Linked DNA regions of Neurospora crassa OR74A. The protein of the gene in region 1 interacts with the protein of each later gene in a pairwise test. Links are inferred from orthologs where the notes say so. Each region holds a gene or a part of one and is shown in the gene's direction. Other genes may lie near its edges. The genes, in order: NCU01249, NCU08359, fbp-1, NCU02998, thr-4, NCU09813 and NCU06110.

Region 1 (4,228 bases):
CACCTTGCTTTGGGGGCAAGAGTGCTACCTGTGCTGAAGCGGGATAGACGGGTATTGTCGCTGCCTTGTAAACGCAAACGGTGGTGATCTTGCTGGTGATGAGAGACTTTGGGTTGGACTTGAACCTCTGAACTTTTGCGCTTAGAACAACAAGCACGTCTCCGGCGCCGACTTCGGGCATCCGTGCCTCGGGGCGGAAGATGACGAGCTCAACTCCGGCCGATTCATCTTCAATGGACAGGTCAGATATGGTCAGGGTGCACTTCCAGTCCGATCCGTGTGTCGCGACGGGTGCTCGGCAGTCCTTAAGAACACCAATGACATTGACCATGGACCCGGGCTGGGCATCACCGTCATCGTCGAGAATGGCTCGTAGGGGTGTGAGCGTTGACGGAAAAAGTGGTGGCTTTGCCTTGGCCGCCGGTTTCCTGTCTCTGAGCGGGCGCATCATCTGGATATCCCAACTCTCCGTTCCGATTACATGGCGGCGGATGAGTATGTGGATGAAACACCACCAGCGGTTGGTCGTGATACTTACCAACCGTTGTAGGGCAACTTGGGGACTTCAGTGTTATACGTCGTACATTACGCGTTCACTTTACGCGTCTTGAAAGCGGAAATGGCACCTGCCCAATCGCCAAGTTTGCGCGACCGCATGTGCAGGGCAAGGGTCTTGGCCGCCCGTCGGGCCAGACCATCAGACTTGAAGCGCTGTGCTTTCAGCAAGCCTTGCAGGGCTACGGTAATGGTTAGACGCATGGTCTGTGCTTTCTCTTACCTACCCAGTATAGTCATGAGGGGTCGGGGACTCCCGAACAGGACCTTGCAGGCCAGCCTCCCAACACAACCTAAAGCCTGGAGGTAGCAAAGACGTATCTACCTAGCTCAGACGGTGGGAGGTTGAGAGCGGCCTTTTGACGTCGTTCTTTCAAGTAACTGAAACATGTCGTAGTCATTCAGGGAAACGAAAAGCTTGCGGCTCGACGGACGCGGCCTGAGGTCGATGAAGTTATGACGGGCAGTGTGTAACCTGCAAACAATCCATGACGTTCACAAGCAAAATGGAAGGAATGAGAAGAATGCCTGGAGGGTCCAGCCGCTCTGAGGTGGGGCCACCCAATGGTGGACAAGTTCCTGCACTCCAAGAACAGCGGACAAGTTACAAAGCTGCTCATGTGGCCTGTGCTCGAGCTTGGCTCTTCCATCCCCACTTTCAGAAGCCAAACTCTTTTCGCTACAGTTGGTGCCAGCATTGGGCGCTGTGGGCAGTGACTGGGCCACCTTCAGGCCTGAGGGGCAGCTGTGACTGAGTGGCAGGCAGGGCACAGTGACTGCCTGCACTTGGACTTCACTTTCGTGGAGGTGGAAAGTGCTGGTAGAGGAGGGGACAAGCCGCCGCCGCATTCTTGTTTCCGCTTTCTGCTCGAGGCGCGGGCGAACTCCCAAATTCTTTCATCGTCGCTCCTCAAAAAACACACAACTCGCCTGCCCCATCCATCCCCAAAACCCAATCCTTCTCTGACGTTTTCCGTCTCGCCGACAACGCACCCATACTTTTCTCCGTCCCATTCAGGATTGCTTTGGCAGGACCGTATCAACCGGGCTCTTCCAATTCTCCGGCTTTTCTTGATCGCATATACCTCCCTTTGAACGGCTCGCAGCAACTTCGTCGCCGGGGCTTCATCGATTGCATCGCCCCTCGTTTGCCGCCTTCATATCACACCTCCATCACCCATCCGTCTAGACACCGTCGTCTCGACATCGCGTCGCAACCATGGCTGACCGATACATTCCCGAGCATCGTCGCACCCAGTTCAAGGCCAAGAGTGCTTTCAAGCCCGATGAGCTTCGTCGCCGTCGTGAGGAACAGCAGGTCGAAATTCGCAAGGCGAAGCGCGAGGAGAACTTGGCCAAGAGGCGCGGTATTGGTGCTGGCGACTCGCGGCCTGGAGCTTCCCTTGGTGCCGCCCCCGACAGTGACGATGAGAACCCTCCCACCGAGTCTCAGGTATGCAAACCTCTATCTTACTCCCCTTACATGATCGGCCACAATTTTGCTACTGCGTCCGTCCATCGCCTCTCCCTTCTCTCCCCCACGTGTACCCCGCCGATGATGGTGATGCTTGAGCCACAAACCCCCAGGCAGTGCCGAACCTGCATTCAAGCTGCGCGCGCAAACTCGAACATTGTACAAACGAAAACCACCCCACATTCCGTCACGTCCCCGATCTTTGTTATAGTTGATCTCCACATGCTAACCCAGTTGTCATAGTTGAGCGAGGACCTTCCCAAGATGGTCGAGGGTGTCTTCTCCAGTGAGATCGATAAGCAAATTCAGGCGACCACTAAGTTCAGAAAGCTGCTCAGCAAGGAGCGCAACCCTCCCATTGAGGAGGTTATCAAGACCGGCGTCGTTGGTCGCTTCGTCGAGTTCCTCCGCTCCCCCCACACCCTGGTCCAGTTCGAGGCCGCTTGGGCCCTTACCAACATTGCTTCGGGCTCTGCCACTCAAACCCAGGTTGTCATCGAAGCTGGTGCTGTTCCCATCTTCGTCGAGCTTCTCGGAAGCCCCGAGCCTGATGTGCGTGAACAGGCTGTTTGGGCTCTCGGCAATATTGCTGGCGATAGCCCTCAATGCCGTGATTACGTTCTAAGCTGCGGTGCTCTGCGTCCTTTGTTGACCCTCCTTGGTGATAGCCGCAAACTTAGCATGCTCAGGAATGCTACCTGGACTCTTAGTAACTTCTGCCGTGGCAAGACTCCTCAGCCCGACTGGAACACGGTTAGTTCTCTCGATCACGAACAATCTAGTATGTCTACTGATCCATCATAGATCGCCCCTGCTTTGCCAGTTCTCGCCAAGCTCGTCTACTCGCTCGACGACGAGGTTCTTATTGACGCTTGCTGGGCCATCTCCTACCTCTCGGATGGATCCAACGACAAAATCCAGGCGGTTATTGAGGCTGGCATTCCCAGGCGTCTTGTTGAGCTCCTCATGCATGCTTCCACCTCTGTCCAGACGCCCGCGCTTCGATCCGTTGGCAACATTGTGACGGGAGACGATGTTCAGACCCAGGTTATCATTAACTGCGGTGCCCTTCCCTGCCTCCTGTCGCTTCTGAGCTCCAACAAGGATGGCATCCGCAAGGAGGCTTGCTGGACCATCAGCAACATTACTGCTGGAAACTCGGCTCAGATCCAATCTGTCATTGACGCCAACATCATCCCTCCTTTGATCCACCTTCTCTCCCATGCCGACCTCAAGACTCGTAAGGAGGCCTGCTGGGCTATCAGCAACGCGACTTCGGGTGGTCTCCAGAAGCCCGATCAGATCAGATACTTGGTTGCTCAAGGCTGCATCAAGCCGCTCTGCGACCTTCTGGCTTGCCCTGACAACAAGATTATCCAGGTTGCCCTGGATGGTCTTGAGAATATTCTCAAGGTTGGCGAGCTCGACAAGAACGCCGCTGGCGATGGCCCTGACTCGATCAACCGTTATGCCCTATTTATCGAGGAATGCGGAGGAATGGAGAAGATTCACGACTGCCAGACGAACGCCAACGAGGAGATCTACATGAAGGCGTACAACATCATTGAAAAGTACTTCTCCGACGAGGACGAGGCCGGTGATGAGGCCATGGGCGCTCAGCAGCAGTTTGGATTCGGTGCTTCCGGTGGTGCCCAGCAGGGTGGCTTCAACTTCGGTGCTAACGGCACCGAGTCGATGGACATGTAAAATGCTGTACAATCCGTCTAGTTCTTTTTACGAAGGGGATGGTTGGGTTAAAGATTGGGATGAGGGGACCCAGATGTGATGTTGATCACGGCACCATCTGGGAAATCCTACCATAAACATCTTACCCCATCAGCCTTTCGGCTCCCCCATACGAGTTCATTCGCCCAAACACAAGTCACAACACGGCAGAACTATATTGCTTCAATCTCATAGTGCCCCCTCACGCTTATTCACCACACCATACCCCTTGAATTGGCGTTATCAAAGTTATGTTTAAAAGAGAAAGGCGAGGATAAGTAGACGCACATGGAGGCCGATTGGTCCTTTGGTGCGAAAGCTCGAACCTGATGAGGACACGATGATGCGTTTTATGATGAAGGGAGAGTAAATCAAAGGGTCTGAATGGTAGCTTGAAAGCTCCAACCCTATAGCCATGTTCGGACGCGCAGTGATCAAGCCAAGGAGAAGGGAGCGGGAGCCTCGGGGCCGATG
Region 2 (3,363 bases), on another chromosome or scaffold:
CCCAGATCTCCGAAGGCGGTCTCAACTTGTCTCAGGGCCAGCGCCAGCTCCTCTGCCTTGCGCGCGCCATCGTTTCGAGGCCGAGAGTTATGGTCCTGGACGAGGCCACCTCGGCGGTGGATATGCACACGGATGCGTTGATCCAGCGGTCTATTCGCGAGGAGTTCACTGATGCAACGCTGCTCGTTATTGCTCACCGTTTGAGCACGATTGCTGATTTTGATCGCATTTTGGTGCTGAGCGATGGCAAGGTTGCCGAGTTTGGAACGCCGAGGGAGCTGTGGGAAAAGGATGGTGGGAGTGGAGTGTTTAGGGGGATGTGTGAAGAGAGTGGTGAGAAGGAGAAGTTGAAGGATATCGTTTTTGCAAAATAAAAGGTTATGGGGGTGGAAGGGATGGATTTATGGTAACGAACGGACGAAAAACTGGACGAAATCCGTGGGATATTGGAATTTGGGAATAGAAAAGTACTGCGCCTGGGGAACATACATCCCTTGAGAGGTTTAAAAGAAGCCAGACTCACCGTATTGATATACTGAAAAAATAGATATATTGTTGGAGATTTGACGCTTTATGTCTGGACCAGACACTTGCAAACTTGCAGTTGTCGTCAGTGAAAGAACCGGTCTGCACAATCTAATGCCAGTTTGTTGATCGCAACTTAGTCCCATATTGCCTCAAACATCATGAGGACACATTGAGGTCATTAGGTATGGATGGGATATGCTTAAGAATTTGATCGGAAACGCACACATAAATTTTGACATCACATATCTGCAGTTGGGATATTTAAGCAAGCCAAGATAGTTCAGCTCTTGAATATGGAACGACACGTATTAATAGGATGAAAGGCCTAGGGAACTTGACCAGAGGTCTCGAGTTGACAAAGAGGCTAAGATTAAGACTACATCCGGTGTCGGTATTCTATCTCGATATCAACATCTCGGATAACCTCGATATCGGAAGTACAACCAATCGTCCATTCTGTCCCCAATCTTGATTTTCAAAACATTCGTCTTTAACCGGCGATTTTTTGTAAAAATCTAAAAATGCATGAAAAAAGACATATGCCACGTCCTGTTACAGAGTAATGACTGGTTGCCCATTCTTTGACCTGGACATATTCAACTATACACCGGAAGCGGTATGCCGAAATGGTGACCGACTCTTTTCTTGATAGTGACCTCATGACCCGCGGTTTTGAGTTGAGAGATAAGTCAGTTCCCACAATAGGCAAGGGACCGCCGATGTTACAGGGGCTTGCAGGGCAAAGCAAGAAGGTCTAAGAGATAAGATAACGAATAGGGCGGGGTGGCGGGGTAGCCGTCCTGCTAGCTTCCGCTCTTTCTCCGCTCTCCGGGGACCGCTGGTCGGCACGCCCCGTTGTCACCACCTACTCGCTGGTAGTCGGTCGGATGCGCTGTCTTTTGGCCGAAATCACCCCTGGGTAGGCTAAACAATGGTCTGGGGAACGGCCCGAGGTACTAAACAATGAAAGACCCGGGAGAATCTGGACGGAAAGGGGAGGAGGGATGAAAGGCGAGTTTGTACGATACACTTTTCCAGTCTTCAACTCGAGACACAATTTATGCCTACCTGTACCGACTTGGTGACGACTACAACACACAAAGTGCTCTTTCTCTCCTCAAATTCTCATTGATCAGCATCTTCCACCATCCAGCCATTCTTCTTCACACACAAAACAGAAGGCATCCCCAACCCCATAACCACTACACTTGGGTCACATTCACCACCACCATCACCACCACCATCACCAAAACAACCACACCATGGCGCCCCCAACACCACCCATCCTCAACGGCCACTCTGAAACCGTCATCGCCCAAACCTGCCAAACCTACAACCTAACCCCCTCCGAATTCGCCCAGCTGCGCGACCGCGCCGTAGCCGCCAAGGCCACCTCGTACAGTCCCTACAGCAAGTTCCGTGTCGGCGCCGTTTTGCTGTCCACCGGCAAGGTCAACGCCGCCGTCACGGGAGAGAGATCATCATCATCATCATCATCAGAGGGAACATACACGCCGGGAGCCAACGTGGAGAACGCCAGCTACCCCGTGACCACGTGCGCGGAGCGGGTGGCCTTCGGTAGGGCGATTACCGAGGGACACCGCGGGTTCAAGGCGGTGGCAGTGGCGACGGATATCAGCCCGCCTGCTAGTCCTTGTGGCATGTGTAGGCAGTTGTGAGTTCCCCTGATATCCATGCTACAGCTAGCTACGCCCTTTTCGGTGTTTCCTCTTTTTCTTTTCCTTTTTTTTTTTTTTTTTTTTTTTGTTTGTTTATTTTTTTTTCTTTCTTTCTTTCTTTCTGTTTGAAAGAGAAAAGGTGGAAGATAGATAGATATGCTTTGCTGACTGACCGGGCTTTTGCAAATTGATGCGTTATAGTATCCGCGAGTTTTGCGAATTGAGCATGCCTATTCTCATGTTTGATAAAGATGAGAATTTCAGTGTTTTGCGGCTTGAAGATGTGAGTTATTACCTTTTTCGTTCTTGCTTGTCCTTCGACCTTTGGCGTCTCGTGAGAGTTCAAAAAGGGGTTTCCTGACATTTTTTTTATATATCTAGCTTCTCCCATTGTCGTTTGGCCCTGATCAGATGGGTATTGAGGGCGCTGCTTAACTGTTTCCATATGATGGTCTCAGGGAAAGACACAGAAGGGTCTCACAATTATGTACCACTTGATCAACTTGGGTGTCAGGAACGGAGCGGAGCGGACAGTTCAGGGAGTCAGGGTCATGTAAACATAGGGGCAAAGCCCCATGTATTCTTTATCGCGCAGTTTTGAAGAGAATCATGGCATAATGAGCCCCAAAACCTGATCAACACAAATAGTATCAACCCCAGTGCCTGACGTACATTACTTCTATCCGACACGCAGTTTCGCTGTGTGGTCCTTCCAGCCTAGAGTAAGCTACTTAAGTCAGGAACTTGCCCAATTAAGAATCACGTCCGTACTATCTTAATGATTTGTCAACCCCAACAAGACAACCGCCATGCGATGAAAGAGAGAGAGAGACAACATGCAATGAATGGACCCAGGAAAAGATCCCACAAAAAAAAGAAACATGACTCCAGACAGCACCACCATACCCCAATAATCAGACTCATTTCGCCCTTTACCCTAATGCCCTTCAATATCCAAACCCATCATGTTGATGCATAGGACACCTGCCCGGGTGTCTCTCCCACCACGCACTTATACACGCTCTGTGAAACCTGCACAAACACTCCAACCTAGCCATGGCCACCCCAGGCTCAAACTCCTCCAGACAAATCGTGCACTCCGCCGAGTCCACGCAGTCTTTCTCCGTCGCCGTGTATGGAAACATGCCGGTCCGCC
Region 3 (3,742 bases), on another chromosome or scaffold:
CGTGAACATGGTGGACGACTCCTGAATGACATCCCTGACGTCACTTGGACAAGAAGGGTTAGGGTTCTGTGTACGATAAGGGAATCCGGTAAGCCGTCAAGGTGCCTGCCGGACCACGGGAAAGCTCCGCCCGAAGTGTCTCCAAAGTCCAAGCTGAGCTCGAAAAGATCTCCATTCCACAGACCGGGAGCTGGTCACGAGGACGACTGGGAAATTTGGGAAGGGAAAAGCCACAACATGGTTTCTGTTCCGTAATCAACCGGCGGTGTTGTTGTTCATTTTGTTTGCCATCAAGTGATTCGTAATTGTGGTACAAACCCCGAGTCAGATGATGGAGATTCTGGACTTTGGTGATTCTTGACCGTCTCTCGTTGGCTTGTTGCCAGATTTGGGTGCCGGTGTTGTCGGGTTTGTTGACAAATCCTCAGCATCGTGAGCCGATTGCCGGATGGTTGGCAAATTGAACAGAACAACCACCAAAAGGTCTTTGGCGACAGAAATGGGAAGCATTGCCATGCGCAAGTCCCGTCGGCCCGGGAAATCTTCTTTGGGGGACTTCAGTTGCATTTGCCAGAGTTGCCCCGCACCCCCGGATCTCGCCCAGCCTAACTGTCATGCCGCCCCTGACGGCTTCTGGATCGCCCCCGGTCGTTAGGTAGGCAACCCCTCCACTCCCCCTTCGTCATCTTGGCTTCATCCATATCATATGCAAAAACAAACAGTTGGGGAAAGTTCCCCTTCGGCCGGCGGCTTATCACAAACTCCTCAGACATCAGCTCGCAACAGGTCATTGAAGAGTAATGTGGGCAATCAGCAGACGGCTAATTCGGCTTTGCCACGAGTACACAAGAACCACAATACCTAAAGCAAAACAAGCAAAGAAGAAGCCACAGACTGCTCGAGGGGGGGGGGGAGGGTGGCCAGCCAACAGTCGCTGATGTCACAAGTCAGCGAGTGGACATACCTAGAGGTAGCTCTCCCCGTCCCTGATTATCGATAACCGCTTGTTCAACCGACGACGGCCGAATGAGGGGCCCCATCCCATAGCTCCCGTTTTCCCCCATTCTGCAACCCGGGGTTCCGGGGTTGTGCCATAGGTTGCCTCGACAGCTTCCAGACAACTGAAGTTGCTTTGTATGTAGTGTAGCATCTCGAGAGGAGGAAAAGCTCCTCCTGATATCATCTCAACGCCTTAACCAGAAGAGATCCAAAGCAACATTACGCTTGTGTTGACTCCTGGACGGACGATCAGTGATCGTCGCCTGAATGTTGTCTTCCAGGCCCTCTCATACGCCAGAAACACTTCAGCCAGTCCATCATAAAAATGGAACTCCTCGTCGAGAATGGATCCTAACCTGTCACGTTGATGGAGGAGATCCCCTTGGCTTGTGAACATTCCCCTGTCATGTTTTCGTGTTCCTGGCTTGTCTGACCGTCTCTTCCCGTCTTCTGCCACTCCACCTGAACTGAAAGGGAAGCTTCTTATCTTGCTGCTCCTCCTCCTCCTCCTCCTCCTCTTTCTCGGGCTCTCTGTTCTTCTCACTCTCAATCTCCCTCTTCTTCCATTATCTTATACCCAAATACCCAAACCAGTGTTTTGAATTTGCTATCCTCCTCACCGGAACAATACCAATCCACCGACCAGACGACCAAACATCATAGTTGCGTATAGGTCGAGCTCTTTGTTCAACGTCAACCCTCGTGACCACGAAGCATACATCATCCCACAGCTGCAGAGCGCATAAGCTAGCTAGCCACGAAATAACAGCCAGCCTGTTCTCACTCTCAGTGTAGCAAGCTTCATTTTCGCTAATTTCGCCAAAAACACATCCTACACACATAATTAACCATGTCGACTTTCACAACAAACGGAGCTGGCGCCGAGAACGACGGTGAGAAGGTGAACACCCACATTGTCACCCTCACCAGATTCCTCACCGAGGAGCAAGTAAAGCACAAGGAGGCCACTGGAGACTTTACGTATGTTATCCATCACTTACACCAATTCCCTTCCTGTTGACCGCGCAAACAACCGAATCAAAGAGAACTACCAGCTAACATGAAACCCCAAAAGCCTCCTTTGCCATGCCCTCCAATTCTCCTTCAAGTCCATCGCCTACTACATCCGCCGCGCCACGCTCGTAAACCTCACAGGTCTCGCCGGCTCCTCCAACACCACGGGCGACGAGCAAAAGAAGCTCGACGTCATCTCCAACGACCTCTTTATCGAAGCCATGCGCTCGTCGGGCAAGTGCGCTTTACTCGTCTCGGAAGAGGAAGAGCACGTAATCTACTTCAAGGACGCCAAGAACGCGCGCTACGCCGTTGCCTGCGACCCCATTGACGGCTCTTCCAACCTGGACGCCGGTGTGTCGGTCGGCACCATCTTCGCCATCCACAAGCTGGCCGAGGACAGCACGGGCACGAAAGAGGACATTCTCAAGCCCGGCACCGAGCTCGTCGCGGCCGGCTTCACCATGTACGGCGCCTCGGCCCAGCTGGTCATCACCATGAAGGGCGGCTCCGTCAACGGCTTCACGCTCGACCAGGGCGTGGGCGAGTTCATCTTGACGCACCCCAACATGACGATCCCCAGGAAGAGGAGCATCTACTCCGTCAACGAGGGTAACTCGCTCTACTGGGAGGATGACGTCAAGGCGTACTTTAACAGTCTGAAGGAAACCCAGGAGGACAGCGGAAAGCCTTATAGCGCTAGGTACATCGGTTCCATGGTGGCCGATGCGTACAGAACGCTGCTCTATGGTGGTATGTTTGCGTACCCGGCAGACAAGAAGAGCCCCAAGGGCAAGCTGCGTATTCTGTACGAGTGCGCGCCCATGGCTATGATTTTTGAGAATGGTAAGTCTTGTCACTCGTCTTCCATCACATCACCCCTTGAGCGCCCAGATAGGAATATGATGATGGATACTAATATGTTGTGTTAAAACGATAGCTGGTGGTCAAGCTGTCGATAGCAAGATGAACCGCATGCTCGAGGTCGTACCGGAGCACATCCATGACAAGGCCGGTATCTTCATGGGTTCATATGATGAGGTTGAGAAGGTCAAGAAGTACCACGGCAAGGCTTGAGCTGGGCTCGGTCAACAAAAGTGTTGGGGCTGGGGGGGTTGGATATCGGGATTGGCTTGCATTTAGGGACTGAGCTTTTGCTTGACATGATTGTCGATACCTAGGTTGATGAATGCGCATGATCAGATGTTGTTTGGTTCATCACCTTGCATAATTTTTTTTTTTTATTTTTTTTTTTTATAACTTGTGAACATCGCCAGTGATGAGTTGTCCGGAGTTGTTCAGTTGCCTTGCGTCCAGCGGTACTTAACTAACCTCTCTTGTCATCCCATCCATCTGTAACCTGTAAGCTTATTCCATCTGATAAACAAGAAAAAAGACATGACCTCCACACCGCATGTGAATGACTTTGCAGGTAAGCAGTACTGTCGAGTGGTCTAGATCTCGAGAGTGAAGAAAGCAAACGTCCATCCTGCCTTTTGACCGCTCGAAGCAGCACATGGCGAACGGCATTTTCGGACTCGAGCAATCATCTGAAGGGGGGTGGAGCAAGAACCGAACGGTTCGTTACGAATTACGTTGTACAGCACTTGTATATATGCGTGTGCATAAATCGACCGTTGACGGCTTCCCGCCGCGCGATGTTTTGTTGATGTTAATATGAGACGGAAATGTTGACAACCAGCGGCCTGCCGGCTCGGTCAACATGTGA
Region 4 (3,489 bases), on another chromosome or scaffold:
TTTCCAAGCTAAACATCCGGATTCCTCCAACTGGATAACAAACTTCCATGGCACGTAATATTTCGGGAAAGAAATTCTGTTCTCGTGTCATCGGGCAGCCATGGCAAAAGCTCAATGCGTAGCCACCGCAAGCGGTCCAACGGAGATTTGATGAGACTAGAGTGGCATTAAGGATGTTGAGATAGATTAAACGAAGGAGGTGGATGGAAAGTAGGGATTAACGAAGCTTCCAATTCCAGGAATCAGTGGTGGAGGAGCTACATGGAAGGTGAGGACTAAGGTGTCAGTCAAAGAACCACCGAGCCGATTGGGTTATGTAGATAGATGAACACACTCCTCTATGGCTGACCAGCTGTAAGCGACATGTATCATCCTAGAGAAATGGCATCTACACGGCGTCGCAGGCTCCGGGGAAAGAATCTGGGGTTGGCTGATTGGCTGTGTCACAGGGTCGATCGAAGACACTTGGAAGAATATATTGAAAGATGAGGGTGTATACAACGCCGGGCCAATGGTATGAGCCAGGTTATTCAGGATAAAGGAGGCCGATAAATTAGGAAGCGGGTCATCCTGAGCAAGACAGGAAGTCTTCGGTATGAAGAATGAAGAAGCTGGCTGACAGAGAAGGCGTCGAAGCCAGATGACAGCAAGGCGGTCACGGCACTCGTCTCATCGTTCTCGGTATCACTAAAAGTTTTTCTGGGTGTTGAGGCTTTTCATGTGTCAAAGTCGCTTGGTCTTGGCCTGAGTCGAGTGAAGCTGAAAAGTGGCAGGTCAATGGTGACGGCCGAGTATGCGCACTCGAGACATCAGATGTCAAGACCGCATATAGAGCGCAATCGTGGACCACAAAGCAAACCAAGGTCCGGAGTTCCGAGTAGCTATCCCTTGACCGTGGTGTTGATCACTTGTTCCTGAGGTGTGATGTGACAATGACCTTCACCCGTCCCGGAGGAGGAGAATTGATGTTGGAAGACCCCGACTGACCCGAGCATGCACGATAACTGCGTCCCCTTGATGCTTGTCAGTGCGGGACAACCATGGCACGATTGCGGAATCAAGGACACGTATTATTAAGGGGGGCAAAATGCCAACGAGAGTGCAGGACACGATATATATATGAATATATATATATATTTTTTCAAAGGGACGGTATCATAATACTCTGGTGTTGTTTAAATAGACGTCTAGCGTTGTCAGACTTTGAGGCTGTGATGCCTGATGAATGGAAGAACCGCGCTAACAGGTTAGGGTTAACAAGGCAACCCCTTCTTCCCCTCAGAAGCCCCGAAATCCCAGTCTGTCGCTCCCCCGCTCCCCGAAATTGCGCGGCCCGGCAGCGGACCCGGGCTTTCTGGGGACATTCAACGTCATCGTCTCAAGTGTTTACAATCGGCGACGACTTCAAATACATCGCGACATCTGTAAGTGCACTGCAAATCCCACATTGGCCCAGAAGTGTCTTCGCACCGCCCCTCTCTTTTCCAAACCCTGCCGAACCGTCTGCTTGGACCTATCCCGGCTCATCGAGACCTTCAGCGGGTATTGTCGGAGCTGACCCGGCGTGTCTTCCGCTCATCTCATCCCGCAACCTATGAGTGGCCTCTCATAAGTGTGACTAAGAACCTAGACTGCCTCTATCAAGATAGCTTTTGCAGCCATCAAATCAAAACATATCCCCCCAAAACAAACAAGCACTCACCAATTGCAGATCCAGGACTCGACGCAACCAAAATAAAAGGAAAAAAAATCAAAATTGAGAAAAATCGCCCATCATGATTGACATGGCCCTCGACCACGGCTCCCTCGAGCACATCCTCCCTGTTTCGTGGAAGTCCCAAATAACAGCCTGGCTTGCTGAGGACACTCCTTCGTTCGACGTCGGCGGTTTCGTTGTCGGCGACGCGCCGCGCACTGCCACTCTCTGGGGGAAGTCGCAGGGAATCTTGGCCGGCGTGCCCTTTTTCAACGAGGTGTTCAAGCAGTGCGGCTGCACCGTCGAGTGGCACGCGACCGAGGGCTGCCACGTCGAGACCCACGGCGGAAAGAGGGCGCTGGCGACCGTGACCGGTCCCGCCCGCGGCCTGCTCGAGGGCGAGCGTGTGGCCCTCAACATCCTGGCCCGCTGCTCCGGCGTGGCTACGCAGAGCCGGCACCTGCTGGTGAACCTGCGGAGTGCCGGCTACAAGGGGATTGTGGCGGGTACTAGGAAGACCACGCCCGGATTCCGTCTTGTCGAGAAGTACGGCATGCTCGTCGGAGGAGCCGACACCCACCGCATGGATCTCAGCACCATGACCATGCTCAAGGACAACCACGTGTGGAGCCGCGGCAGCATTACTGAGGCTGTCAAGGCGGCCAAGGCGGCCGGCGGCTTCAGCCTCAAGATCGAGGTTGAGGTGCAGAGTGAGGAGGAAGCTGATGAGGCGATTGCTGCCGGTGCCGACATTATTATGCTGGACAACTTCACTGGTGAGGGCGTCAGGGTCGCTGCTCGCAGCCTGAAGGAAAGGTGGGCTGGCAAGAAGCAGTTCTTGCTTGAGGTTTCCGGTGGTTTGACTGCCGACAACGCCGAGTCCTACATTTGCCACGGTAAGTGTGCCGGATCAATCATCTCCAGTAGAATTGTCGCTGACAAGCACATTAGATATCGATATCCTTTCGACAAGCTCCATTCACCAGGGCGTGCCGCACGTCGACTTTTCGCTCAAGATCAATGTCGAGAAGGGCACCGGCCCTGAAATTTCGAGCTAATGGATTCATATAATGAAATTTTGAGTGCACGACACATTGGTATGATACGTTACAATTCAAGCATGCAGTATTACCCGGCTTCGATGAGCTGGCTGTAATAGGCCAATTCAACCATTGTGAGTGATACGAACTTGGAGGAACTGGAGTTGCACAACAACAGGAGATGAGCGCCACCAAAATGGTACAAAAGTGTTATGGACTGACGTATCCGTGATCAATGCCAAACCTGGTGCATTATGTTCTCCAAATTCCAGCACATAGATGGTTATTTTGGTTCCAATCCAGCCATCCCATGTTGTGCCACGTTGAATAATCTTCGAGTCTTGTTTTTGACACTCCTAGTGAGATGGCCGCAAAATGCTATACCATGGTTCACTGCGGGTTGCGCTTCAGTGATAATTATTCCCACCCAAATCGATTTCGCCGCCCCTTTTCCCTAACGCCGACAAGCAATATAGTCTAGTAATTCTAATAATCCTCAATCGACGATATGTTCACCCCGTCGCCTCCTCCAAAAGCTGCGACACCGTCACAGCTTTGTAGCCCCTCCTCTGCATCTCCGGCAACACCTTCCTCAACATGGGCGGTGTCCAGCTCCTCCGATCATGACAAATAATGATTCCCCCGGGGCTCAGCATACTGAGGATATGCCTCGCATTCAGCCAGGCATACCCAATCTGGGCATCATGTGGATATATGCTCCCCAAAACCAAGCGATACCCCAATTTCCTCACC
Region 5 (3,925 bases), about 2.1 Mb from region 1:
TGAAACAGCTGAAACAGCTGATAAGGCTGTTACTACTCCAAACCCTAAAAGGAGAGCTACTGGTGCCGGGCTGAGGAGGACGTTGTCGAATGTTTCGGCAGGACCGCCACGTTGACAGAGGGCACAGCTTCGTGGATCACCGAGAAACAGGAGTGTGAGCCATTACTCCATAGAAAAGGTGTTGGTTATTCAGAATAATTTACTGCTAGGTGGCTACATAGACGCGTTCAAAATTTCTCTTTCGATACTCTTGCTGATGCAGGATACGAGTGTTTGAAAAGGGATGAAAGAAATTCCCCTTAAAGAAGATTGTGGAGGGCCTGTACCCGTACCACCAGTACTGGGTAGCAGCACGATCTGTGAAATTTAGAAGGAAGCAGGAAATAAAGACTAAAAGACCAGAAACAAATCCATGTGCAAACAATCATCCGGAAAGCTCGGTTGCTGATGTTTACATGGCCTTCTTGGCACCGTAGCTACAGCAACGGCCGAAAAGGGTTCTTCAGCCTTGTAAGTGTCAAGCAACCTTGATAGATCATGCTTGATTCTTTCTATTCGGGCGAAGTATGGAGTCTTCTGCCTGGTTGTAAAGCTATGAAACTGTTGGCCTCAAGGAACACCGTAATGTAAGAAAAATGGTTATGTTATTTACCTCGAGGAATGGTCAGATCAAAGGACATTGAGGGACCTTTCAAGTTGTACGCCGAAGCTTACTGTTGGGACTAGAACGTGAACTGCTAGAACGGCAAGCAATCCTTATCGCACTGGTATTGATGAACTCGTAATATGAAATATATTATTACAAGCGTTGTGTTTTCCTTAAAGGTCTTTCAATACCGCCAGGAACACTCTATCTTGGCGCAGGCAAAGCAAGTTCATCGAAGGACAAGTGGCTGTCAAAACACATAGTCCCACCTAGTGTAGTCAATCGAAATGCTTGTTGAATGATGTATGTACGAGTCCCCGTTACTATGGTAACATTGATGTTGACTCGAGCGAAGAAGAACCTTGATGACTGTGTTGACTTGAAACGAAAAGAAGCAAACAAGTCAGGGGTTTAAACTAGTGGATCGAACCCTAAAAGGTGGAGCACCCAGCGCTCCATAACGCCAAGTGGACACCCACTGTAGAGTCATTGTCCACTGCCCGTCGGGCTCCGCTCCGTAATCGGGGCACCCTCCGACCTCCAGAAAGGGAAATCAATTGAAATTCAACAAAATTTCAGTGAAGGTGACGCATTCTCACAAAAGAGAGCATTTGTGTTTCTTGGCATAGGCAAGCCGATTGTTTACTTCTGTTCATCCATCTCCCGTTGGTTTCTTTCTGTGAAACTATCACCACTGGGTTCAACCCCTAGTAGTAAACCACTTTCACTCCAGACACAATGGCGTCTTCCCAGCAGATCGAAAAGTTCGTCATCAAGACGCCTTGCTCGAGCGCCAACATTGGCCCCGGCTTCGACGTCATCGGCCTGGCCTTGTCCATGTACCTGGAGCTCCATGTCACCATCGACCGCTCCAAGACGACTTCGGACAAGCCGCTGAACTGCCGCATCACCTACGAGGGCCAGGGCGAGGAGGATATCAGCCTGGATCCCGAGGTCAACCTTATCACCCGTGTTGCGCTTTACGTCCTCCGCTGCAACGACCAGCGCAGCTTCCCCGTCGAGACTCATGTGCACATCAAGAACCCCATCCCCCTCGGAAGAGGTCTGGGTTCTTCCGGCGCCGCTGTCGTTGCCGGTGTCCAGCTCGGCAAGGAGGTCGGCGGTCTGCACGACCTCACTCCCGAGCGTCTCTTTGACTACTGCCTCATGATTGGTGAGTCACTTATACTCTCACTCACCTTGAGCAACAAACACTGACAAAAATTGCAGAGCGCCACCCCGACAACGTCGGCGCCGCCCTCTTCGGTGGCTTTGTTGGCACCTACCTCAAGCCCCTCACCCCCGAGGAGACTGCCCGCACTGAGATTCCCCTCAGTGAGGTCCTCCCCGCCCCCGCCGGCGGTGTTGACACGGGCGTCAAGCCCCCTTCGCCTCCCCACGGCATCGGCCACCACATCAAGTTCCCCTGGGCTCCCGAAATCAAGGCCGTGGCCATCATTCCCGAGTTCGAGGTCCCCACCGCCAAGGCCCGCGAGGTTCTTCCCGCCGAGTATCCCCGTGCGGATGTTGTACGTCTTTCCTTCTTCTTTTATCTCACTATCAACCAATCAAGCCACTGACTTTTTTTTTTCAACTAGACCTTCAACCTCCAAAGGATAGCCCTCCTCCCCGTCGCCCTCGGCCAATCCCCTCCTGACCCGGAGCTCATCAACCTGGCTATGCAGGACAAGCTGCACCAGCCGTACCGCCAGGTCCTCATTCCCGGTCTGACCAAGATTGTCGAGTCCATGACGCCCGCCACGCAGCCCGGTCTTTTGGGCGTGTGCCTGTCCGGTGCCGGCCCGACCATCTTGGCGCTGGCGACGGAAAACTTTGAGACGATTGCCCAGAAGATCATTGAGGAGTTCAAGTCCAACAACATTGTCTGCCGTTGGGAGCTGTTGGAGCCTGCGGATGGGACTACGGTTACTAGGGCTTAGATGCCCATAGAATTGGATGAGATGAGATGGGATGGGATGGGGTTGCCTGTGAAACCCGTGATAGGGTAACCAGGTGGTAAAGAGGTGGAGGAGAGGCTGGCAAAAGCGGGATTGGGCAGTGAGCCGGCTTAGACACTGGAGAAAACGAACAAAAAAACAGAAGAAAATCTTGTGATACCCCTCATCCCTCATCCCGAAGCTTCCCGCGAGGTCTCTTGGTATTAAATGGTCACGAGATGCTGATGATCGTACGAGAATTCTACCGATATTATGTTTCTCTGTTTCTGGCAAGCCCCCCCGGGGCCGCCCACCATTTCAAAAGAAGGGATAACTAACTCCCGCCTCCAGACTCGTTCAAGTTTCAAGGCGCAAAAGCCACGCCGTATCCTTACGCGGCTCCATCTGCGTTTGTCTTCCGGGTGCATCCGTGTCCCGCACTTAACGGGTTCGCGATCGGCTGACGTGTGGAGCCCCCCCGACGACATGGCGGCTCGGCGGGTATTGGACGGGCTCCGCTTCGGGGACCGGATGTGGTCTGTCCATTGCCGCGTTGCGGGGCTCCGCTCGATCCGGGAAGAACCGAGAAATTTCACGATGGCTTCATTCCGTAGTTTTCCGGCGGTCTAAGTCTCACAAGTTGTGCAAGTTCAAGTGCTGGAATTTGAACTCGGATCAAAGTTTCTTGGTACGTACATGGCATCGCGACTCGGATCCCAGCCAGGCCCGGGCCGGAAGATGGCAGCTTGTGCCCGCTGTCAGATGCCAAACGGCATCAAGCGCGGAAAGTGTATGTATCCGCCAATTTTGCAATCCGTCGTACTTATTTCGGGAAAACTCGCAACCGTCCCCTGGAGACAATCTGGGTTAGGTTTTCGTCATTTCCCATTCCCATGGTTAGGTACTAGGTACTAGGTAGGGACCGCCCGCCCGGCGCCATCCGGGAAAAACAAACAAACATCCAGACGCCGGGAGACAAGTTATTCCTGTCAGTATGGAGAATTCCCGCCTGTCAGCGCTGGTCAGCTGAAAAAACAGTTCCGCCTTTTCCCCAAGTTCAACCCAAACCCAAACCCAGGAACAGAAAACAGCGTCGCGTCGGATCAGCAACACACAACTGAATCCAGGCAAGCCAGGCACTTCCATTCCAGAACCATTCCTTCATAACCCAACCGCACCAATCACTACCCCTGCTGCCCACTCGCTTGGCATTGTTCCCATCCAAAACATCCAGACAACGCCATCTTTCAGCTGCGCCCCACTCTCTTTTTGATAAATCACCCAATCACAGCTCGACGAAGGCAAGTCGGACTCCCCCGATCACACCACGACCAGCCGAGAC
Region 6 (3,382 bases), on another chromosome or scaffold:
TTCTTCTTTTTTTTTTCCTTACAATGTCCACGGCATTCCTATTAGAGTCTCGGAACAAGACCATCATTTCTTGTTCAGGCCCATGAGGTCTCTCGCGTGCTCAAGGATCGCCCAGAGGAATACCGCACTTTCCGTTTAAGTTACCTAACACCTTCACGGGCGTTTAGGTGGACATATCTGGACAAGTGATACATTTCGACTCCTCTTGTTTTCCTTCATGTAGCCTTCTTTCTCTGTTCCATCTTGAGCCGTAGCAGGCTCGCTTTGGGGCAGCTAACTGTTGACGCGCTTTCGCTGTTCTTTTCGTAAAACGCGTTGCAACACTCGTAGAGTGCGTCTATCTGTTTCTGGCATTTGCTCTCATCAAATCCGTTTCTGGTCAGGCAATCTGCGGCGTGAAGTGAGGTCAGCAAACTGCGAGTTCTGAACGACACAGGAGTCAAGCTGGTCATCCTCACTTTGTATCGCGCACTGCAGGCACGAAAGAACCGCATGTCAGCACACCACGCGTGCAAGCCGTAACAAAAGAACAAGGGAAACATGGAACAAACCGCGCGTGGATGGCATGGCGGACTGGCTGCGAGGTCGTCTTGCAATGTCTAACAAAGCAACATGAACGGTCAGCAGTGCCTCAGGGGAGAGCCGAGACATTCTGTAAGGGGAGACCTGAAGCTGGTACTGCGCCTAAACCCACCATGGTATCGAAATTTGAACGGTCGAGAACTCCGTCTGGTTGGAAGCTGGATCGCGAAGAAGTCAAGAACTGGCAGTTAGACGTACCCTTTGCTCAGGTGTTCATTAAATGGAAGGTAAAAGCCAGAGCTTCGAGTGGGACTCTACGCTCGAGGATCTCCCTCCTGCAAGTTTGGAATCCCCACAACCTAAACAATCCCGGTGCTTCGGTACCCCATTCTCCAGTCCAGTTGCCGCGCCTATCAGTAAAGGAAAACGGGTGGATGATGTCAGGAACTCTCCGGATCGAAAACACTTATCGGTGACCACCACTGCGTCAACCTATCTGTACCATTCTTCTACCAGCCTCACTACAACCTAACGCTGGAACAGGCAGTTAACCGCGGACTAGGACTACAAGGAACTGTTCATTACTATAGGGCTTGTGCGACGCAAGGTCGGGTGGTCTGCAAAGATGAGCGAAAGATTGGTATTCGAATGGTTGACCTAGAAGTAGTGCCAAGTGGCGGACAGTGAAATACTTGGGCACCTAGTTCTGTGGGCTTGCAATTCGGTGTATGAACACCTTCACGAATTGGCCTTCCTCGGCCCTTTCGTCTCATGTTCACCTTTTGGACCAGGTACGGGTATTATACGCATGTGTCGCATTTCAGTAGAGCCTTAAGGAGCGCAACTTACCACAAAAGTTGGCCAGGTTGAGAGGAGGCATCAAGGTTTCGTACAAATATTGGTGTTTCAAGGCTGGCCCCACCTGAACTTTGCGTCTGCTGCAGTCTTACAAACCGCCCTCCAGCCGTCGTTTACTGCATTCGCCGCAACCACGCTTCCACCTCAAAAGCACGACTTGACCCGGTGCACCTCGCCTTCCACTTCTCTAAATTCTCACGGACCTACTTGACTCGACGCTTCCCAAGACCAGAAGTCTGCCACAGCGTCTTTCAATACGCCTATCTACTGCAGTAAGACAATCCGCTTCTCCTCTCGAATTTTGCTGTTCCTCCACCAATTTCTGCTCCATCTCGTTGTGCGACAACACAGGCAGGACGAGACTCTCCGGCGCGTTGACACGCGCGCAATTTCTGACTTCCATCGCAGCCTGGAACTCTAGCATTTCCGAACATCGACACTTCAAACTCGGCCCTTCCAGTTTTCATTGACGAAATTTCTTTGCGACTAGACTTCTGCCTAGCATCTCCAACTCCCAAGTCATCAACATGGCGGACAACGCTGAGAACGGAAGTGGAAACGCTGGCTCCGATGCCGCCGCCCCCGCCGTCGAGCACCTTAATATCAAGGTGACGGATAACAACAACGAGGTCTTTTTCAAGATCAAGCGCAGCACCAAGCTCGAGAAGCTCATGACGGCGTTCTGCGAGCGTCAGGGCAAGACGCTGGCTTCGGTTAGGTTCCTCTTCGAGGGTCAGCGCGTACAGCCCACGGACACCCCGGACACTGTAAGTGAAGTCTGGCATGCACCTAACATCTGTGTTGATGTTGCTGCTAGCCCGGGAACACCATGGTAGACGAAGCACCCGAGCACGCCAGAAATATGTTTGCTAACCAGGTCCATTGCTACCATAATATAGCTCGAGATGCAGGACGGTGATTGCCTGGAAGTTCACCAAGAGCAGGTCGGCGGCTGGTAGATAAAAGGCGATCCTATACTACAACTACAAGGAGATGGGAGAAAGAAAAAGGCAACAAAAAAAAATACAAAAAAGACAAAATTACAACCGGCCATATGCATAGTAGCAAGCGGAACGACAACCGGCGACTTGATCACCAGAAGATAGCTCGCGAGTGGTATCCGATTCTATAACAGGACAGGGACTGGGTGGGAGTTTCGGAATGTGACAGCAGGATTGGACACGGGGTTACGGAGAACATCACAGCTTTTGCCATTGTCACTGGACGCACGCACTTTTTCTACTTTTGTTCCTATTCGCCGCATAGGTGATGCCTAGGAGAACCGGAGTTCGGAGGGTGCTATCATTGGGGTCATAGGGCGGAGGGGTATCGAGGAACATTGATTTGATTCTATTTATACCATACTTTGACGGGACGCCAACTGGCTTTGCCGGCATCTTATCTTCTGTTTGAAGCGTAAACACGGCATCTTTCCAAATGGCCTTCTGCCCCCTTTCTTCCCCCCTTTTTTCCAGTCCCAGATGTTGTAACAATACTGCGAGTGCTCGTTTATGATGCCATGCACATTCTCGAGCGCTGTCGAGTGTTTATTATCCTAGGAATTCAAGGACTCACATTGTTGTATCTGTCCCCGCTCAGCCAGTGAACCCGTTGCAGTGACATATTCGTAGACAGAGCCTTTACTCTCCTCTACCATCATCTCCAATTTGCCCAGCTTCGATCGTCGTTCCCGAGCGCTGTGGGATATCGTCAACTCCTTGCTTATCTTCCAAGGCTGATTTAACCATGACGTCCATAATGCCTATCAGGTAGGCTACGCTGACAAGTCCAAGGCAACCCCGAATAACCACACCATGACATCCTAGTTTCGTGTGTTGATGTGTTATTATTATAATATTGTTTGTATCTCGATACTCGTACATATGAACCCCTAAACACTATTGAGTAAAAGAAAATGTAGAGCAACTTGAACATCCTGATTCCAATGCTATGCAGAAGAAAAAAAAAAGGAAGAAAAAAAAAAACACCCTTACAATGCTTT
Region 7 (4,038 bases), on another chromosome or scaffold:
GATACAGTAGCAATCTGTATTCGTAGGTCCAATTCTTTAACCCGATACTAATTGGCTATATGAAGTTGACCGGTAAGGATAATAAAGCCCAGGCAGTACTCTCTATTAGCAGCAATAGCTTCAATACACATTACTAATTTACAATTCTCGGGGATAGCAAAGTAGTAGGTTCGCTTCCGCTTTATAATAACAAGCTAGTCTTTACCTATACCAATACAGAAACTAGTCTTATTTATATTCTATATATCCGACGGTATAAAGCCTTCTAATAAAATAATTTAATAGAGCTTCTCGAAGTATACTATTACTTATTATACTATTTATTAATCGTTACCTATATAAATAATATTAATATAACGGACTTACCTTATTTATATCCTTATTATCTTTCTGGGTACTATCTATTTTCTTTTGCCTAACTTTAGAATATTCGTAGCGCTTAATAAACCGTATTGCCCAATTAATACTAATGCGGGGTATTTCTTCGTTGTTAGAGTCGGCCGATTTAGGAGCCTTACTTCGAAGTAGTAGATCTGCAATATCCTTAATATACAACGGTCGTACAGCGAGGTTAATTCTATCGAAACGGTCGATATAGTTATATAGAACCTTCTTATTAACTAGAGTAAGCTTTTACTTGTATAGTACGGGCGTACCCTTCTTAGTTGGGATCCCTTTAATGTAATTGTAGAGTTGCTTGCGGGGGACTTCAAATGTCTTGCACAAATGGGTGACGGGGACGTCGGGATTATCGTAATAAAAAGCGACCGCTCGTTGCAAACGTGCCTCCATATTGACAGCGATTATCCCTAATGCGATACGACGTTGTGGTAGTATAAAGAGAGAGGATTATAGGAAACTCAAAATCGTTATAATATATTGAGGTTCAAGATGTACGTGGCCGTTTTACTGGTGTGGCCGTATTACCCGTGAGCACCCACTTTAGGGGGTGCGAGTTCTACGAGGTCCAAAAAAGTGGGGGCGTAGTACGGGTAGTAGCCAAGAAGGGGAAGGGAACGTTCGGGCCGTTAATGTTCTCGGCGTCGGCAAGGTGTCGGACTTTGTCCCGCGTTAACGGTGCTACCACCCATCCAACGCTATCATTAGCGAGCTGCAGCTCTTGCTTGAAATTGCGACCTCAATTGCTGTTGTACCGTAGCTGAGCGTAGTTAGCCGGTTCATTCATTTTTGCTTTCCTCATGTTCACGCCATCAGCGAGTCCATCCGACACCGAAGAGTGGGGTGTTCGGCCCACGCATTGATGTCTGTAAGCCGCGCACTGTCGAGGATCGAGATAACAAGCGAACCTCTAATGTTGGACACGGACAAGATGAAGAGGGGTAACTATATTGATAGCTTCGACAACTGAAAACGATTTGATAGTCTCGGGCTGACATTGGGTCATGATCGGAGGATCGCCGATGCCGTGAAACTTGGGCAAAGGAGGGGAACAGGAAGGCGAAATAACCATTCGTGGTGAGGATGCATGGGATGATGGAAGGTGTGGCATGTTCAGATAACCGCATACTTCCCGTCAGTGTGTACGATGCAGTGTTGGAAAAGAAAGAGGGGCAAGAGGGGCAAAAGGATGCAAGCGAGGGGGAGAGGGGACGGGATGCAGCTCGAACTGAACCGGGAGTAGGAGGGGAGTCGCGTAGGTACATGTGCACCCACCTCGCTTACCTTACTTGCCTCAAGTAACGATAAAAAGGGCAACAGCTCCCCTACACAAAGTCTGCCTCTTCTCTTCCATTCTTTCCCATCTTCTTCCCATCGTCAGAATCAACGAACAACCTCTGTCTTCGTTCCAAGGACTACCAGCAATAAATACCAACACGCAAGTATCACCAAGCTTGTTCGGGCTTCATCTGTCTCCTCTCCCCCATGGTGTTGATATACTAACACCCTCAAGCAAGCAGACAGACTCTCAACACCAGGGTACAGACCACCCACCTCCTCCACCAAGATGGCCACAAACCATCGTTCCAGGAGGAGCTGAAGCCATGAACTCCCCATCGGCTGGTTGATTATACCATGATTCGATCACGTTCAAACATACTTTCAGAGGTAACTATCTGAATGCATGAGCCGGTGCCAACTTCTGTCCTGGGTATTAGGTCGCTTCTAGCACCTGTACCCAGGGGAGAAGTACAGGCTGAGAATATACGGCGACGAACTTGATCTGGATAATACCAGCGAAAGGATCATGCTTCAACTTTCCTCCCCCGCTCCCCCCTTCTCCCGTACAGTCATTCTAACATTCCCAGATAACTCTGATCCATCATCACCATGTCTCCCTCTGTTCTCGAGCCGCAGAGCGTCCCCACTCTTGTCAACGTCGGTCTCAAGGCCGTAGGCAGGAACGATGCTCCCGTCGAGCGTGATGCCAGGGGCTTGTCCAAGCCTCTTCTGGAGCTCATGCCCACCCTCGGCACTGACGCCTTCACCTTTTCCCCCATTCGCGAATCTACCGTTTCGCGCGCCATGACCCGCCGCTACTTCGCTGACCTGGACGCCCACGCCGAGACCGACATTGTCATTGTCGGTGCCGGCTCTTGCGGTCTCTCGGCCGCCTACGTCTTGTCCACCCTGCGGCCCGACCTGCGCATCACTATCGTCGAAGCAGGCGTCGCCCCGGGAGGTGGCGCTTGGTTGGGCGGACAGCTCTTCAGTGCCATGGTGATGCGCAAGCCTGCCGACGTCTTCCTGGACGAGGTTGGCGTGCCGTATGAAGATGAGGGTGACTACGTGGTGGTCAAGCATGCCGCTCTGTTCACTTCGACTGTGCTGAGCAAGGTCTTGCAGAGGCCCAACGTCAAGCTGTTCAATGCCACGACCGTCGAGGACTTGATCACCAGGAAGCACCACGCCGAGTCTTCGTCGTCATCGGATGATGGCGAGGCCGAGGACGAGGCCAAGGTGAGGATTGCCGGTGTGGTGACCAACTGGACCCTCGTGTCAATGCATCACGATGATCAGAGCTGCATGGACCCCAACACCATCAACGCCCCAGTTATCATCAGCACCACGGGCCACGATGGTCCTTTTGGTGCCTTCTCCGTCAAGCGTTTGGTCAGCATGAAGCAGATGGAGCGCCTGAACGGCATGCGCGGGCTCGATATGCAATCCGCCGAGGATGCTATTGTCAACAACACTCGCGAGATCGTCCCGGGTCTGATCGTTGGCGGTATGGAGTTGTCGGAGATTGACGGTGCCAACCGCATGGGTATGTTGAACTATCCCCTACTTCAGTTGATCTGAGTTGCATATGCTAACCCTGGCCAACCACAGGACCTACCTTCGGAGCCATGGCTCTCAGCGGTGTCAAGGCTGCCCACGAGGCCATTCGCGTCTTCGACCTCCGCAAGGCTCAGAACGACAAGTGCTAAGCCTGTTCAAGACGTTGGAAGTAGTAACTAAAATGGGGGAGGATTTATGCATGCAATTTGTTGAATCTTTTGAGTTTAAACTTTGTTCGTGTCCATTTGGATCCAATGAATTCTTGAACGTACAGTCCCTTCTGTTGGTCTCTTTATGCTTAAGATAGCCGTTTAAAGTCCAAAATCGTCTTGACGCACCTCTTAAGTCATCTTGTCATCTTTTATGTCCGAAAATCCCGTGAAGCAGGAACAAATAAACCTTTGCTTTTGCAAGTCGCGCAGAAGTGACCTCTGGGGCGGTGGAGAGGATATGGCATTGAAAATGTAACAATGTCCTGCCGGACCCCAAATCATCAACGGTCATCCTTCTGCTCAGCTTGACGGCTGCGATGTCGCGTCGTGGACAAGAGAGCTTCAACAGTGCATGACAAGGTCAAGCAACACAAGTACAGGCCTGGGAAAAGCGACAAGATATCGAGGGAATGCAAGAAGACATAACATAGTAGTAGTAAGGTTGATAAACTGGTACGTAAGTCCCATCGTTTGGTATCTCTCCCTTTTTGAGTCGCCTGCAGCGGAAAAAAGAAAGGAACAGAAAGAAGACATTGCCGACCGACCAATAAACTCCTGCTCCACGACTCCGATCCCAGTCCTCCTT

What was found.
Region 2: the proteins of NCU01249 (region 1) and NCU08359 interact in a two-hybrid assay, tested with the Saccharomyces cerevisiae proteins (2 studies listed by BioGRID). The link is inferred for Neurospora crassa OR74A from reciprocal best matches to the Saccharomyces cerevisiae genes SRP1 and CDD1.
Region 3: the proteins of NCU01249 (region 1) and fbp-1 interact in a two-hybrid assay, tested with the Saccharomyces cerevisiae proteins (2 studies listed by BioGRID). The link is inferred for Neurospora crassa OR74A from reciprocal best matches to the Saccharomyces cerevisiae genes SRP1 and FBP1.
Region 4: the proteins of NCU01249 (region 1) and NCU02998 interact in a two-hybrid assay, tested with the Saccharomyces cerevisiae proteins (2 studies listed by BioGRID). The link is inferred for Neurospora crassa OR74A from reciprocal best matches to the Saccharomyces cerevisiae genes SRP1 and BNA6.
Region 5: the proteins of NCU01249 (region 1) and thr-4 interact in a two-hybrid assay, tested with the Saccharomyces cerevisiae proteins (2 studies listed by BioGRID). The link is inferred for Neurospora crassa OR74A from reciprocal best matches to the Saccharomyces cerevisiae genes SRP1 and THR1.
Region 6: the proteins of NCU01249 (region 1) and NCU09813 interact in a two-hybrid assay, tested with the Saccharomyces cerevisiae proteins (2 studies listed by BioGRID). The link is inferred for Neurospora crassa OR74A from reciprocal best matches to the Saccharomyces cerevisiae genes SRP1 and SMT3.
Region 7: the proteins of NCU01249 (region 1) and NCU06110 interact in a two-hybrid assay, tested with the Saccharomyces cerevisiae proteins (2 studies listed by BioGRID). The link is inferred for Neurospora crassa OR74A from reciprocal best matches to the Saccharomyces cerevisiae genes SRP1 and THI4.

Annotation. Positions count from the first base shown.
Region 1 is NC_026505.1:3,366,333-3,370,560, forward strand, and holds the start of NCU01249 (importin alpha subunit), read left to right. Parts: upstream 1-1,428; 5' UTR 1,429-1,774; coding exon 1,775-2,008; intron 2,009-2,272; coding exon 2,273-2,782; intron 2,783-2,833; coding exon 2,834-3,736; 3' UTR 3,737-4,228. Other genes in the region: NCU01248 (hypothetical protein), read right to left, coding at 1-451. UniProt on the Saccharomyces cerevisiae protein: Functions in nuclear protein import as an adapter protein for importin beta nuclear receptors. Binds specifically and directly to substrates containing either a simple or bipartite NLS motif. Promotes docking of import substrates to the nuclear envelope.
Region 2 is NC_026501.1:5,632,317-5,635,679, reverse strand, and holds NCU08359 (cytidine deaminase), read left to right. Parts: upstream 1-1,474; 5' UTR 1,475-1,790; coding exon 1,791-2,203; intron 2,204-2,408; coding exon 2,409-2,490; intron 2,491-2,588; coding exon 2,589-2,642; 3' UTR 2,643-2,863; downstream 2,864-3,363. Other genes in the region: NCU08358 (hypothetical protein), read left to right, coding at 1-374; NCU08360 (hypothetical protein), read right to left, coding at 3,155-3,363. UniProt on the Saccharomyces cerevisiae protein: This enzyme scavenges exogenous and endogenous cytidine and 2'-deoxycytidine for UMP synthesis.
Region 3 is NC_026506.1:853,930-857,671, reverse strand, and holds fbp-1 (fructose-1,6-bisphosphatase), read left to right. Parts: upstream 1-1,338; 5' UTR 1,339-1,849; coding exon 1,850-1,980; intron 1,981-2,074; coding exon 2,075-2,859; intron 2,860-2,953; coding exon 2,954-3,090; 3' UTR 3,091-3,242; downstream 3,243-3,742.
Region 4 is NC_026501.1:8,474,443-8,477,931, forward strand, and holds NCU02998 (nicotinate-nucleotide pyrophosphorylase), read left to right. Parts: upstream 1-1,348; 5' UTR 1,349-1,424; intron 1,425-1,711; 5' UTR 1,712-1,775; coding exon 1,776-2,741; coding exon of another isoform or gene 2,742-2,754; 3' UTR 2,755-2,989; downstream 2,990-3,489. Other genes in the region: NCU02997 (polysaccharide deacetylase), read right to left, coding at 3,249-3,489. UniProt on the Saccharomyces cerevisiae protein: Involved in the catabolism of quinolinic acid (QA).
Region 5 is NC_026505.1:5,469,577-5,473,501, reverse strand, and holds thr-4 (homoserine kinase), read left to right. Parts: upstream 1-1,158; 5' UTR 1,159-1,384; coding exon 1,385-1,820; intron 1,821-1,876; coding exon 1,877-2,175; intron 2,176-2,244; coding exon 2,245-2,586; 3' UTR 2,587-3,425; downstream 3,426-3,925. Other genes in the region: NCU04278 (hypothetical protein), read left to right, coding at 1-115. UniProt on the Saccharomyces cerevisiae protein: Commits homoserine to the threonine biosynthesis pathway by catalyzing its O-phosphorylation.
Region 6 is NC_026501.1:4,134,519-4,137,900, reverse strand, and holds NCU09813 (SMT3, variant 2), read left to right. Parts: upstream 1-1,465; 5' UTR 1,466-1,652; exon of another isoform or gene 1,653-1,870; 5' UTR 1,871-1,907; coding exon 1,908-2,147; intron 2,148-2,279; coding exon 2,280-2,339; 3' UTR 2,340-2,882; downstream 2,883-3,382. Other genes in the region: NCU16378 (DUF1903 domain-containing protein), read right to left, coding at 216-388, 459-471, 552-599, 695-697. UniProt on the Saccharomyces cerevisiae protein: Not known; suppressor of MIF2 mutations.
Region 7 is NC_026507.1:1,764,339-1,768,376, reverse strand, and holds NCU06110 (thiazole biosynthetic enzyme), read left to right. Parts: upstream 1-1,238; 5' UTR 1,239-1,837; exon of another isoform or gene 1,838-1,919; 5' UTR 1,920-1,938; exon of another isoform or gene 1,939-2,267; 5' UTR 2,268-2,289; coding exon 2,290-3,226; intron 3,227-3,291; coding exon 3,292-3,389; 3' UTR 3,390-3,916; downstream 3,917-4,038.